2 linked regions of the Anolis sagrei genome follow. The protein of the gene in region 1 interacts with the protein of each later gene in a pairwise test. Links are inferred from orthologs where the notes say so. Each region holds a gene or a part of one and is shown in the gene's direction. Other genes may lie near its edges.

The links.
Region 2: the proteins of ALDOA (region 1) and ENO3 interact in a two-hybrid assay, tested with the Homo sapiens proteins (2 studies listed by BioGRID and IntAct, with this or other methods). The link is inferred for Anolis sagrei from reciprocal best matches to the Homo sapiens genes ALDOA and ENO3.

Annotation. Positions count from the first base shown.
Region 1 is NC_090026.1:17,439,453-17,446,599, forward strand, and holds the start of ALDOA (fructose-bisphosphate aldolase A), read left to right. Parts: upstream 1-4,086; 5' UTR 4,087-4,193; intron 4,194-7,147. UniProt on the Homo sapiens protein: Catalyzes the reversible conversion of beta-D-fructose 1,6-bisphosphate (FBP) into two triose phosphate and plays a key role in glycolysis and gluconeogenesis. In addition, may also function as scaffolding protein.
Region 2 is NC_090026.1:1,351,276-1,358,740, forward strand, and holds the start of ENO3 (beta-enolase), read left to right. Parts: upstream 1-4,187; 5' UTR 4,188-4,296; exon of another isoform or gene 4,297-4,300; intron 4,301-4,767; 5' UTR 4,768-4,769; coding exon 4,770-4,854; intron 4,855-7,465. UniProt on the Homo sapiens protein: Glycolytic enzyme that catalyzes the conversion of 2-phosphoglycerate to phosphoenolpyruvate. Appears to have a function in striated muscle development and regeneration.

The DNA of each region.
Region 1 (7,147 bases):
TTTTCAGCTTTGAACTGGATTATATGAGTCCACACTGCCAGATAATAATCTGGGATAAACAGAAAACCTGGGATCAGATCCTGGGATATAGGGACTGTCTGGAAGGGCCCTAGGTTATCATTATCCAGGTAACCATATTTGTTTATTCATTCAAAAACCCTCTGTGTCTTGCGTCTAGATGTCTGAACAGAAAAATATGTCTTCTGTCTAAGCAGAGAACGATCACATAAATTTAAGACTTGGAAGAGAGCCTGTCGGTCATTTAATTCTAATTTCCTGCTTAATATATGAGGATGCTGCGATGGCATTCCATTAGCCATTTGAAAGACAGCGAACCTACTTCCCAAAGCTCACAATTGGGAAGATTCTCCCAATTTTCGACCCAAATCTACCTTTCTCTCATTTATAGGGTTGCTGCAAGTCCAAGTCGACTTGATGGCAGTGACAAAAACCTTTAGAAAATAAATTCCACCTATAAATTCCAGCACAGTCTGTTGGAACAACAAAGAACATGTCTAGGTCATCTACATGACAGACCTTCAGATATTTGAAGGCATCTAAAAGCTAATCATTCCCAGTTCTTTTGGTTAAACATGCCCATTACACATGATTTGGTTGCAGTTGCCTAGATTTTGCAGTTGTTTCTCCTATCCATCTGTTACAAGGAAGTCTCTTGTTCAGGTCCACACTTGTTTTGTGCTCGAGGCACTACATATTTCATGTAAAAGGAGAACATCTTCTACCTCCCAAAGGATGTGTATCAGTCCATCTTAAGAGTGATGACATATCTACTGGAAAACACAATTGCTTTTGTTGCAGTCATTTCCTGAGATATGTATTGCTTGGGCTTTGGTTCCAGGACCTCCTGTGGATACTAGCATCTTTTGATCCTCAAATCCCATTGTATACAATGCTGTAGTAAAATGGTGTCCCTTATATGAAATGGCATGATCAAGGGTTGCTTTTTGGATTTCTTTTTAAAAGCATTCTTTGTGGACAATTGAATCCTGGGTGCAGAATACATGAATATGGAGGGCCGACTATAACAACAACATATAAAATAATAAATAGGGGAAACACCATATATCTGAACCATTTTATGGTAAGGATAAAGGTTTCCTTTTGACATTAGGTCTAGTCCTGTCCAACTCTGGGGGTTGGTGCTCATCTCCATTTCTAAGCCAAAGAGCCAGCGTTGTCTGTAGACACCTCCAAAGTCATGTGGCTAGCATGACTGCATGGAGAGCCGTTACCTTCCCGCCAAAGTGGTACCTATTGATTTACTCACATTTGCATGTTTTTGAGCTAATAGGTTGGCAGATGCTGGGCATAACAGCGGGAGCTCACCCTGCTTCCCAGATTCAAACTGCTGACCTTTCGGTCAGCAACTTCAGCAGCTCAGCGGTTTAGCCCACTGAACCTAAAATGGTAAGGGGCCTCCTTACCATTTTAGATAAGGGTATATCATTTTTATGCATTTTAAAGTGGCAGGATAGTAATAATAATAATAATAATAATAATAATAATAATAATAATAATAATAATAATAATAAGCGGCTTAAGCAGCTGAGGGGAAAAGGAAGGGGCCTGAGGCTTTTAGGAATTATGGGAGTTGAAGTCCAAAACACCGGGAGTGCCCAAGTTTGGGCATGCCTGAGCTAGACTGTAGTACTATTGAGCCTTCTCTGCTCAATAGTGCTGGGGCCTCATTAAAGTACAATACCAGGATCTCATAGTAATGAACCATGACAGTTTAATTCTTGTCATGGCTCAATGTCAAGCTGCATTGATTATCAAGTTGCATTCATTCTACAGTGTAGATGTATGAAGGTTGAATGAAAAGTAATGCCTCCACCTTCGTAACTCAACAGATGGCAGTACTGGTATGCAGCAGGTACTGGCTTGTTCAGTAGACTCTCCTCTACAGTTCCATTTTGGCGGGAAGCCTTAGCATTGAACAGTTGTGTTGTTAAAGTGCAAAGTATGGAACCCTGCGCAGACGGTCGGTCAATACAACTTAAGCAATGTGCAGTCATTGAATTCTTGACAGCAGAAGGTGTCACTCCAAAGGAGATTCATCAGAGAATGCAAGCTGCTTATGGTTATTGTGTTGATGTGAATACTATGCGTCGTTGGGTGAGTAAGTTTAAAGATGTTGAGGTGGGAACATCTGACTTTCGTGACAAACAAAGAGTTGGACGTCCTGTGACAGCAACCACTGAGTTTCACAAACAAAAGGTTGACAGATTGATTCAGGATGATCGTCGTATCACTCAGAGAGAAATTTCAAGCATAATTAGCATTTCACAAGAACATATGGGTCACATTATTGCTTTGCTTGGCTAACGGAAGATCTGTGCATGATGGGTACACAGCAAAACTTCAGATACTGGACCTCACCACCGTACGGCATCCTCCATACAGTCCAGATTTAGCACCGTCTGACTTCAATCTGTTCCTGATAATGAAAGAAGATCTGCGGGGACATAATTATGCTTCTGATGAAGACATTGAGAGAACTGTGAGATGCTAGTTGCGGAAAAAGAGTGTCGACTTCTTCCGTGACGGCTTCAGAAAACTTGTTCATCGTTGGCAGAAATGTATCCAATTGTCTGGTGATTATGTAGAAAAGAGAATAGTGGTAATAATAATAATAATAATAATTATTATTATTATTATTATTATACTTTATTTATTTATACCATCTCCCCAAGGGACTCGGTGCAGCTTACATGAGGCCAAGCCCACAATACATCAATAACAAGAGCAATAAGAAAAACAATCAATACAATACAATTAATCATTGAATCATAGAATCAAAGAGTTGGAAGAGACCTCATGGGCCGTCCAGTCCAACCCACTGCCAAGAAGCAGGAATATTGCATTCAAATCACCCCTGACAGATGGCCATCCAGCCTCTGTTTAAAAGCTTCCAAAGAAGGAGCCTCCACCACACTCCGGGGCAGAGAGTTCCACTGCTGAGCGGCTCTCACAGTCAGGAAGTTTTTCCTCATGTTCAGATGGAATCTCCTCTCTTGTAGTTTGAAGCCATTGTTCTGCGTCCTAGTCTCCAAAGAAGCAGAAAACAAGCTTGCTCCCTCCTCCCTGTGGCTTCCTCTCACATACTTATACATGGCTATCATATCTCCTCTCAACCTTCTCTTCTTCAGGCTAAACATGCCCAGCTCCTTAAGCCGCTCCTCATAGGGCTTGTTCTCCAGACCCTTGATCATTTTAGCCGCCCTCCTCTGGACACATTCCAGCTTGTCAATATCTCTCTTGAATTGTGGTGCCCAGAATTGGACACAATATTCCAGGTGTGGTCTAACTCACATAAACAAAAAACAATAAACAGTAACATGCAGCATTTAAAAACCAATGATAGTTGAAGAGCACATTCTAAGAAGTATTTCTGCGTTTGATTTATTAAAATATTCCCATCCAAACCCACGTAATGAAGGTGGAGGCATTACTTTTCATTCAACCCTTGTCTTATTATTGCTGAGCCTTTCCCAATCCAGAATGGGCAGATAGATAGAACCTCAGTTGTCTTGCAGTTCCACCCAGGGGCAGCAGGTGGCGCTGAGGGACAAGTGGACATACAATGGAGCTGAAATGGAAGCCTTACATTGCAAGCTTGAGTTTTTAGTAGAGGAAGAAAGCAGCTTAGGGGCACAAAGTGGGCAAGATGGTGGGTGGAAGGAAACATGAACCACATGGGCATTGAGTCCCATGACCCTTCTGACCTGGGACTGCAAGGAAGGGAAGGAAGCATGGAACACATGAGCATTGGGGCCAAAAGGGTGACTCCAAAGCATTGGTGCCATTTGCACAGGGTCTGGTGCAACCTTTCAATCAGGGGAGCGTTGTTTTTCTAGGTGGAGGCCAGACTTTGGAAGGGAAGGAGCCATGACCCTCCCTCCACTCTCCCATCCTCTTTCCCCGTGACTGGCCCGCTGTCCCTTTGCTCTTTGGGAATGTCAGGGGCCTCGTCTTTCACATTCCGAGGACCCGGGCCCCTATTTTTAGCCTGCCCTGCGAAAGGCCAGGGGTCGAAGAGAAGGTTAGCCTGGCCCTTCCCACCCCTCGGAGCCCCCTTCTTATAGCCCCAGCGCTGGCTTTGCCCCTGCCAGTCACCCAGCACCCTCCGGAGACGCCGCCGTGTCCTGCCAGAGCCCCTCTCGTGCCCACCGGTACGTTTGGGGTGCGGGATGAGGGGTCTTTTTTGACCAGGGAAGGAGTAAGGCTTGCTTTGGGGATAGCAAGCATTGGCACAAGGCCCTCCAAGGCAGATCAGAACTGGGGAAAGGAAACTTTGGGGACTACAACTAACAAATGCTAAGGAGGGTTGGGGATTATGGGACCTGCAAAATATCCATCATTCTCAGCTCTGGTTGGGTGGTTATACCCACTCGTATATACTCGTATATTTCAGAAAGGTCTGCTTTCCTAAATGAAAGTGTTTACATATATATATATATATTTAAAATATAGGTTTACATTTTGTCTCCTTGAAGACTTAGATCGTACTGTTGAGTTGTATTGTGTCTCCAATTCATTTTTAAGGTAGTCCTATCCTATAACAGGGAGCCCCCAATGGCGCAGTGGGTTAAACCGCTGAGCTGCTGAACTTGCTTACCTAATGGTCACAGGTTCGAATCTGGGGAGGGGGTGAGCTCCCACTGTTAGCCCCAGCTTCTGCCAACCTAGCAGTTTGAAAACATGCAAATGTGAGTAGATAAATAGGTACCGCTGCGGAGGGAAGGTAACAGCGCTCCATGCAGTCATGCCAACCACATGACCTTGGAAGTGTCTATGGACAACGCTGGCTCTTTGGCTTAGAAATGGAGATGAGCACCAACCCCCAGAGTTGAACACGACTGGTCTTAATGTCAGGAAAAAATCTTTACCTTTACCTTATGGTGCTTCCAATTCATTTTTGATTGAGGTAGTCCTGTCCTATCACAGGGTTTTCTTTCTCTGCCCTGGAGTGTGGTAGAAGCGCCTTTGGAGGCTTGTAAACAGAGGCTGGATGGCCATCTGTCGGGGGTGCTTTGGATGTGGTTTTCCTGCTTGGCAGGGGGTTGGACTGGATGGCCCATGAGGTCTTTTCCAACTTTAGGATTCTATTATTCTAAGGGGTTTGCCATGGCCTCCCTCTGAGGCTGAGAGAGTGTGACACACTCGGTAGGTTTCCATGGCTGAGTGAGGATTCAAACTCTGGACTGCAGAGTCCTATAGTATATCTATGCTGTAAAAGTAATGCACTTTGATGCCACTTTAACTACTATTGCTCAATACTATGTAATAATGGAAGCTGTAGTTTTACAAGGTCTTCTCTACCTAATGCTGCTAGCTCCTTACCAATCTACAATTCCAATTATTCTATAGCATTGATCCATAGGAGTAAAGCTGCAGTGGCGCAATGGGTTAAACCCATGTGCCGGCTGAACTGCTGACCTGAAGGTTGCCTGTTCAAATCCGCGAGACAGGGTGAGATCCCATCTGTCAGCTCTAGCTTGCGAGGACATGAAAGAAGGATGGTAACACATCCCCTGGGCAACATCTCTGTAGATGGCCAATTCTCTCACACCAGAAGCGACTTGCAGTATGTTCTCAAGTTGCTTCTGACACGATAAAAAATCCATAGCAGTTAAGTTGGCACCAAACTGCGTTCATTCTAGAGTGTAGAAGCATCCCTTATCCTGACAAGGTTTGTTCAGAAGGGTTTGCTATGGTGTTCCTCTGAAGCTGAGAGAGTGTGACTCAGCCATAGGTTTCCAATGCTTTTAGGTCAACAGTCCAGCCGGCACATGGGTTTAACCCATTTTAATATAAGCTGCTTTGAGTCTCCTTTGTGGACAGAAAAAGTGGTGTAAGTAAACATAATAATAATAATAATAATAATAATAATAATAATAATTCCATAGCTGAATGCATATTTGAACCCTGGTCGCAAAAGTCCTAGTCCAAAGCTCAAATGCCACGCTGGCTCATTTAGCACTTCTTTAAATGGATAGTCAAGTTCCTCCCTTTCATTTTAAATCTGGCTTACGAACCAGCATTAAATCAATACCCTTGCAGGGCTTTAAATATTAGTGGATGGGCACTTCCCATTTGTCCTTACACATTCCTTCACTTTTATTAGTCTGTTGCTCTTTGCTTGGTAAGTCTGAACCAACCCTCCTCACTGAGTCTACGGTATTTGCTTCTTCCTCCATTTAAGTCCATAGCGGCTGTTGACTCACAGTTTCCCCTCCCAACACTATTATCTCACACCGGCGTTTCCTCCTTTGCTGCAATGACTTGCAAAAGTCTTGCACAGTTACTATTTGTTCAGGGTTTTATTCACATCAATGCATCTAGAGCGGCATTCTTCTGCCCAGGTTTTCCCCTTAACACTTTCTGATTTATTGTTGTTTACTTTTCAAGCCCTTTCTGGCTTACGGCAACCCTATCATGGGGCTTTCTTGGCAGGATTTGTGGAGAAGGCTGTTCTTTGAGGCTGAGAGAGTGTGACTTGCCCTAGTTCACCCTCTAGGTTTTCATGGCTGAGCAGGGGATTCGAACCCTGGTCTCCAAAGTCCTAATCCAACCCTCAAGCCACTTTTATATATTGCACTTGCTATACTTTAAGAGATATAAAACAATCCTATAGCAACACTCAAAATAAAGCACACCACTAAAAAAAAAAAAAAACAGGGGAAGTCCAGACAGAAAACAATCAGAGCCAGCTAACACCTCCCAACAAAGGATTCCCTCCAGCAGGAAGCAACCAATACCGTAGATTTTCTATTTGAGTTACAGATGCAGGGAATTATTTTATTTAAAAATAAAAATGATCTTATGCAGGAAAACACATGGAAAGAGATAAAAAGAGGACAAAAAAAGGCTAAGCAGCAGTAGACATCCCTATATAATAAGCTTACCAAGAGTTCTTGAAGGATGCCTCCAGGCAGGAAGCAGCCAGGCTTTAAAGCTGCAAGGCCATTCAATGCTAATCAATGTGGCCAATTACAGCATCCACACTTGCCTCAAACAGACAAGAGTTCTTTCTCCCACCCTGGACATTACACAGATACCTCACTTGCCTAGTTTCCAACCAGCCTCCTAACCTCTGCCATTGATGTGGGTGAAACTTCAGGAG
Region 2 (7,465 bases), about 16 Mb from region 1:
ATTTCTTGATTTAAGTCGTTGATGTGCTGGCTGATACCCAAACAAGGGATGGATTGGAGATGTCTCTGCCTTGGTCCTTTCACTATTGGCTGCTACTTCCCGGCGGATGTGCGAGCTGGATCATAGTGAAGGCTGAGCGAAGGAAGAGAGAGGCTTTTGAACTGTGGTGCTGGTGGAAAGTTCTAAGAGTGCCTTGGACCGTGAGAAGATCCAACCAGTCCATACTTCAGGAAATAAATACCGGGTGTTCACTGGAGAGGAGGATATCAGAGGCAAAGATGAAGTTCTTTGGCCTCATCATGGGAAGATATGAGACCTTGGAGAAGAGAATGATGCTTGGGAAAATGGAAGGAAAAAGGAAGAGGGGCCGACCAAGGGCAATTCTTGAAGGGACTCGTTTGGCCTTGAAGGAGATCCTGTGGGCGGCCACGGCCGACATGGAGCTCTGGCCTGGGCTGGTCCATGAAGTCATGAAGCGACTGAATGAATAAACATCACCAACCCTTGGCTATGATCTTGGAGAAGGGGGCAAAGGGGTCCCATCCTATGGGGCAGGCCTGGGCCAACTTCAGCCTTCCCTCCAGGTGTTTTGGACTTCCAACTCTGCACCGGAGGGAGGGTGAGGCTCGAGGGTCTTCCTTCTGCCTTCCCGTAAATGCATCCCAAGGCTGTGAAAGGTGAGCAGGAGGAGCTATCTAGGGTTACCTCCTCGTCCTTTAAGCCTGGGACCTCGAATGGTCCCCCGACCTTTAGAAGGGTCTAAATTTAGGGCAAGGCTTTGGCGGAAGGGCCTGGCACCAAATGCAAAAGAGCCAAAGCAAGGACACGAAGGAAGGAAAGGAAGGGATCCTGCCTTGAATGCAAACGTTTGGGGGAAAACGCTCTGCCCCGTGCGTGACTCATCCCGGCTTGGCCACCAGCCGCTCTCGTTCCTCCTTGCCAGCCAGCCCCGTGGGTGGGTGGGTTTGGCTGGCATCCCGGGCCATGCCCTGCTATTCAAGAGAAAGCCCTGCAATGAAGCATGATTCACGGGATCCACGGAGGAGAAGGGGCCCCCGGGCGTGTGGGCCCTTTGCCTGGAGTAAACGCGGAGGAGAGGAGGACGTTGGATCAGGAGGGGCGCCCAGGAAGACGGCCGTGGCGTCCTGCCATCCATGCAGCCAGATGGAGAGAGGATGCGCAGGTGCACGGATGGAGGCGGCCGTCGCATGTCCCATTTTTAGAAGGCAATTATAGGCAACGGAATGGACCCAAGGCAGGGCGGACCGCTTTCTAAGGAGGGTGCGCTCCCAAGGAAAGAAAGAAAGAGAAGCATCCCTGCAATGTGCCTGTATTGACCTGACTCATGCGCCACTGAATCTCATGCGCACCTCCATTTTCAAAACCCTTAAAACAAGGAAAGTATTGGCTGCTGAATGTGTGCAAAAAGCGCACTCCTTGTCACTGGGCCCAAAAATATGTGCCTTGCAATGGCTGCTTGCTTAATAATAACAAAAAGGTCAGGGCACCAAAGTTTCCAGCAAAGGAAAGGAAAACTATGCTGCAGAAGGAATGCACTTGAATTGCCTTGGTTCAATGCGGTGGAGTCCTGGTGTGTGTGTGTGTGTGGGGGGGGGGGGGGGGTGTTGGACAAGGTCTTGAGCCTTCTTTGCCAACGAATGCTGGTGCCTCGCCACCAAGATTACCGTATGATGTGAATCATATAAGGCACACCCTAATTTTGGTGAGGTAATTCAGCCAAAAAAAGGTGAGCGTTACATTCAAATAAATATGGATGTCCCACTTTTCTCCCAACAAAGGATCCAAAGCCATTCTCCCAATAATAATAATAATAATAACAATAACAACAACAACCAATAATAATAATAATCATCATCATCATCATCTATAATAACCCTAAATAATAACCTATAATAATAATAATAATGTTTGACCCACCTTAATAATAATAATAATCTTTAATAAACCTAAATAATAATAATAATAATAATAATAATAATAATAATAATGTATGACCCACCTCTCCCTGCGGCTCGAAGCAGGATGCAACATCTTAAAATAAGAGATAAGACACTAATAATAATAATAATAATAATAATAATAATAATAATAATGTATTACCTGCCTCTCCCTGCAACTCGAGGTGACAGATAGACAATAATAATAACAATAATAATAATAATAATAATAATAATAATAATGTATTACCTGCCTCTCCCTGCAGCTTGAGGTGACATATAGACAGTAATAATGATGATGATGATGATGATGATAATAAATGTATTACCTTTCTCTCCCTGCAGCTCGAGGTGACATATAGACAATAATAATAATAATAATAATAATAATATCCCATTTGGTTGCCATGCAAACATCCAAATGGCAAGCAAGGAGAGCCTGTCTGCATCCCGCATGCCTTGCAGGTTTGCTCTCTTTTAGGGCCATACATTGCATGTCCACCAAAGCCACATCTCCCCCCATCCCCCTTCTCTACATGTCAGCCCAGTGCAGGTGAAAAGCCAGCACTTCAATGCCTTGACCAGGCCAGGCTTCAGAGAGTCACAGTGCATTGGCTGAGCCCCAGGTTCAGATCCTCCCTCTGCCATTGGCAACTCTGGGAAAAGTCCCACTCAAAGCAAACTCACAAGGCAGTGGTCACTATAAAGAGTGAACCTTCTATTCTATTAATCTGTCTGGCTATCTCTCTCTCTCTCTCTCTCCTGTCTAATCTATCATCTGCCTACCTATCCTACCTACCTACCCTATCCTACCTACCTACATATCTTACAGTTATTCTATCTATCTATCTATCTATCTATCTATCTATCTATCTATCTATCTTGCATATCTGCCTCCCAATTATCTAATCTATCTACTACCTACCCTATCTATCTATCTATCTATCTATCTATCTAATCTATGACACAATTATCTATCTACCTCCCATCAATCTATCATCTGCCTACCTATCTTATCCTATCTACCTACATATCTTACAGTTATTCTATCCATCCATTCATCCATCTATCCATCCATCTTGCGTATCTACCTCCCAATTATCTAATCTATCTACTACCTACCCTATCTATCTAATCTAATCTATCACACAGTTATCTATCTGCCTCCCATCTAATCTATCTACTATCTATCCTATCTACCTACCTACCCATCCATCCTTCCGTCTACTGCACAGTTATCTTACCTATCTATCTACCTCGATAATCAACTATCTATCTATCTATCTATCTATCTATCTATCTAATTATGACACAATTATCTATCTACCGCCCATCTAATCTATCATCTGCCTACCTATCCTACCTACCTACCTACCTACCTACCTACCTACATATCTTACAGTTAATCTATCTATCTATCTATCTATCTATCTATCTATCATCTATCCATCCATCTATCTATCCATCTATCTATCTTGCGTATCTACCTCCCAATTATCTAATCTATCTACTACCTACCTTAGCTATCTACCTATCCTATCTATCTATCTATCTATCTATCTATCTATCTATCTATTTATCTACCTCCCATATAATCTATCATCTACTTATCCTATCCTATCTATCTATTGATCAATAGTACAGTTAACAATTATCTATCTATCTACCTCCCATATAATCTATCATCTTCCTATCCTATCCTATATATCGATTGATAGTACAGTTAACTTATCTATTTACCTCTCATTTAATCTTTCCCACCTATTTATCTATCTATTTATCTTGTGTATCTAGTTCCCAATTATCTAATCTTATCTATCTATCTATCTATCTATCTATCTATCTATCTATCTATCTTTTTATCTACCTACCTACCTATCTATCTATCTATCTATCTATCTATCTATCTATCTTTTTATCTACCTACCTACCTACCTACCTACCTACCTACCTATCTATCTATCTATCTATCTATCTATAGATCTGTGCAGTCTTTTTTTTTCTTTGCCTGCCTGTGGCATTTCTGTGCCACCTCTCCGCCCACCAAGAACCTCGGAGACGATGTTAGAACAGCTCGGAACATTTCAAATATCAACTGCAGGGATCACGACTTCTCAAACAAATTAAAGCACGCCTGACAAAAAGTCGTGCAAAAACTCTGCCGGGCCCTCCCCCCTCCCTCCCTCCCCCTGGGCCAAAGAAGGGGGGGCGTGCCTGCTCCTGGTGGACCCTGGCTATAAAGGGCCGAGTCCAGCCTCTCCGGCCACTGTCCGCAGCTCCAGCAGACAGACACAATTCCCCCCAGAGAGCCCCAGGAAACAGCAGCAGAAGAAAGAAAGTGAGTGAGTGCATGGAGAGACCCCAGACCCATTGAGAAGGGGCATGGGTCAACTTGGGCCCTTTTTCCAGGTGTTTTGGACTCCAACTCCCACCATTCCTCACAGCCTCAGGCCCTTTCCTTTTGGAAGGGGCCTGAGGCTGTGAGGAATGGTGGGAGTTGGAGTCCAAAACACCTGGAAGGAGGGCCAAAGTTTGCTACTTCTTGCTTTTTTTGGGGAGGGGGGGATCTTCTGCTTGCAAGAGTCTTCTCCAGCGCTGACCTTTCCCAGCTCTTTACCGAAAGAGAGCAGGAGGCAAGGGGGGGGGTCTATATTTAGCCTTGGCAGCTGCCCTTCTGCCTCCTGGGGAATGCAGGCCCAGGGAGGACTATTTGGGGGATCTCTTTGAGTCTATATGGGGGGAAAAAAGGGGGAGAGACCTCCTCCTCGGACCCCCACTTGACCCTCTCGTTCTCTCTGTCTCTCCACAGCCATGTCTATCCAGAAGATCCACGCCAGGGAGATCCTCGACTCCCGGGGCAACCCCACCGTGGAGGTGGACCTGCACACCGGCAAAGGTCAGTCTCCGTTGGCAGCCAGCAAGCAAGCCCACACCCCTGACCTTTCCTTTTCAGGGTCAGCCAAGGTGCCCCCATTGACCCTACCCTCTCTCTCTCTTTTTGAATCTGGGAACAAAGAGGACACACTCAGCACCGTGAAGGAACACAAATAATACACTTTTTATACCTGACTACCAATGCAAATGCATTGCATGTAAACCTATCCAACTATTGTCCTATCTATTTACCTCTTATCTCATCTAATATAATATATCTATTTATCTGCATCATCAATTCTGTCTATTTTGTCTGTCTATTTTCCTACCTACCCAACTTTCTGTCTGTTTGTCCTATCTCTCTCTCTCCCACCCAATCTATCTATCCATTTATCTACATCATCAATTCTATCTGTCTATTCTAAGGAGCCCCTGGTATACAGGACTGCTGTACCAAAAGGTCAGTGGTTCAAATGCTGCAAGTCGCTTCTGGTTGCATTTGCAGCATTTCATCTATTCTGATGATCGTGCCATTACTGCTCAAGCAGGGAGCTTTGAGATGGTAGAACAGAAGCTCTCCGAAGCTCTAGGTGCCCTTACTGCCTATTACAGGGAAAACCAGCTGATCCCCAACCCATCTAAAACACAGACATGTGCCTTTCATCTCAAGAACAGACAACCATCCCGAGCTCTGAGGATTATTACCTGGGAAGGAATCCCACTGGAGCATTGCAGCGCACCCAAATACCTGGGAGTCACTCTGGACCGTTCTCTGACCTACAAGAAGCACTGCCTGAACATCAAGCAAAAAGTGGGTGCTAGAAACAATATCATACAAAAGCTGACTGGCACAACCTGGGGATCACAACCAGGCACAGTGAAGACATCTGCCCTTGCGCTATGCTACTCTGCTGCTGAGTATGCATGCCCAGTGTGGAACACATCTCACCATGCTAAATCAGTGGATGTGGCTCTTAATGAGACATGCCGCATTATCACGGGGTGTCTGCGCCCTACACCACTGGAGAAATTACACTGCTTAGCCGGTATTGCACCACCTGACATCCGCCGGGAAGGAGCAGCCAAGAGTGAAAGGACCAAGGCAGAGACATCTCCAGTTCATCCCATGTTTGGGTATCAGCCAGCACGCCAACGACTTAAATCAAGAAACAGTTTTCTAAGATCTACAGAGACACTAGCTGGAACACCTCAGCAAGCGAGAGTCCAAAAGTGGCAGGCTCAAACCCAGAACCTCAATCCATGGCTGATATCAAATGAGAGACTCCCCCCCTCCTGGGCACACAGAAGAAGACTGGGCCACTTGGAAGGCGCTGAACAGACTGCGCTCTGGCACCACAAGATGCAGAGCCAACCTTCAGAAATGGGGCTACAAAGTGGAATCCTCGACATGTGAGTGTGGAGAGGAGCAAACCACTGACCACCTGCTGCAATGCACCCTCAGCCCTGCCACATGCACCATGGAGGACCTTCTTGCGGCAACACCAGAGGCACTCCAAGCGGCCAGAGACTGCTCAAAGGACATTTAATCAACTGCCAAGCTTGCAAACTTTGTGTTTTGTCTGTTTGTTTGTCTGTTTGTTTGTTTGTTTTGTTCTGTTAGAAATGTAATACAATTGTCTGGTTGCCCCTGACACGATAAATAAAGTGGTGGTTCAAATCCAGGGAGTGGGCTGAGCTCCCATCTGTCATCTCCAGCTTCTCATGTGGGGACACGAGAGAAGCCTCCTACACGGATGATAAAACATCTGGGTGTCCCCTGAACAACATCCTTGCAGACGGCCAATTCTATTGCACCAAAAGCAACTTGCAGTTTCTCAAGTCGTTCCTGACACGGAAAAAAAATCTATCTATTGGCATCATCAATTTCATCTATGTATTCTACCTGTCTATTCTTCCTGTCTGTTTTGTCTTTTCTATCTATTTACCTACCTACCGAACTACCTATCTATCTGCCTCCCATCTATACCTTTATACCCACACAACTATCAATGCAAATGCATGGCATTTACACCTACCCAACTATCTGTCTGTCTGTCTGTTCTATCCACAAATGCAAAGACAATTCTGCAGACCTCACGCTCCTTGTCCTTGTACCCCTGATTATCCTTGCTTATTATACTTCTTCTTCTTATTATTATTATTATTATTACCCCTCATTATCAGTGACATGTGGGGCTTGACGAATCCAAGGATGGAGTTAAAATAGCTGGATGCAACATGAACACCCTTAGATATGCAGATGATGCCATTTTGATGGCAAAAAGTGAGGAGGAGCTGAGGAGCCTTCTCACCAAGGTGGAAGAAGAAAGGGCAAAAGCTGGGCTGCAGTTCAACATCAGGAAAACCAAGATTGTGGCAACCAGACTGACTGAGAACTGGCAAATAGAGAGTAACCTACAGATGTGAAAGCTGGACCAGAAGGAAGGCTGAGCGAAGGAAGAGAGATGCTTTGGAACTGTGGCGCTGGAGGAAAATCCCGAGAGTGCCTTGGACCACGAGAAGATCCAACCAGTCCATACTTCAGGAAATGAAAGCCCAACTGCTCATTGGAGGGAAGGAGATGAGAGTCAAAGTTCTTTGGCCACATCATGAGAAGATAGGAAAGCTTGGAG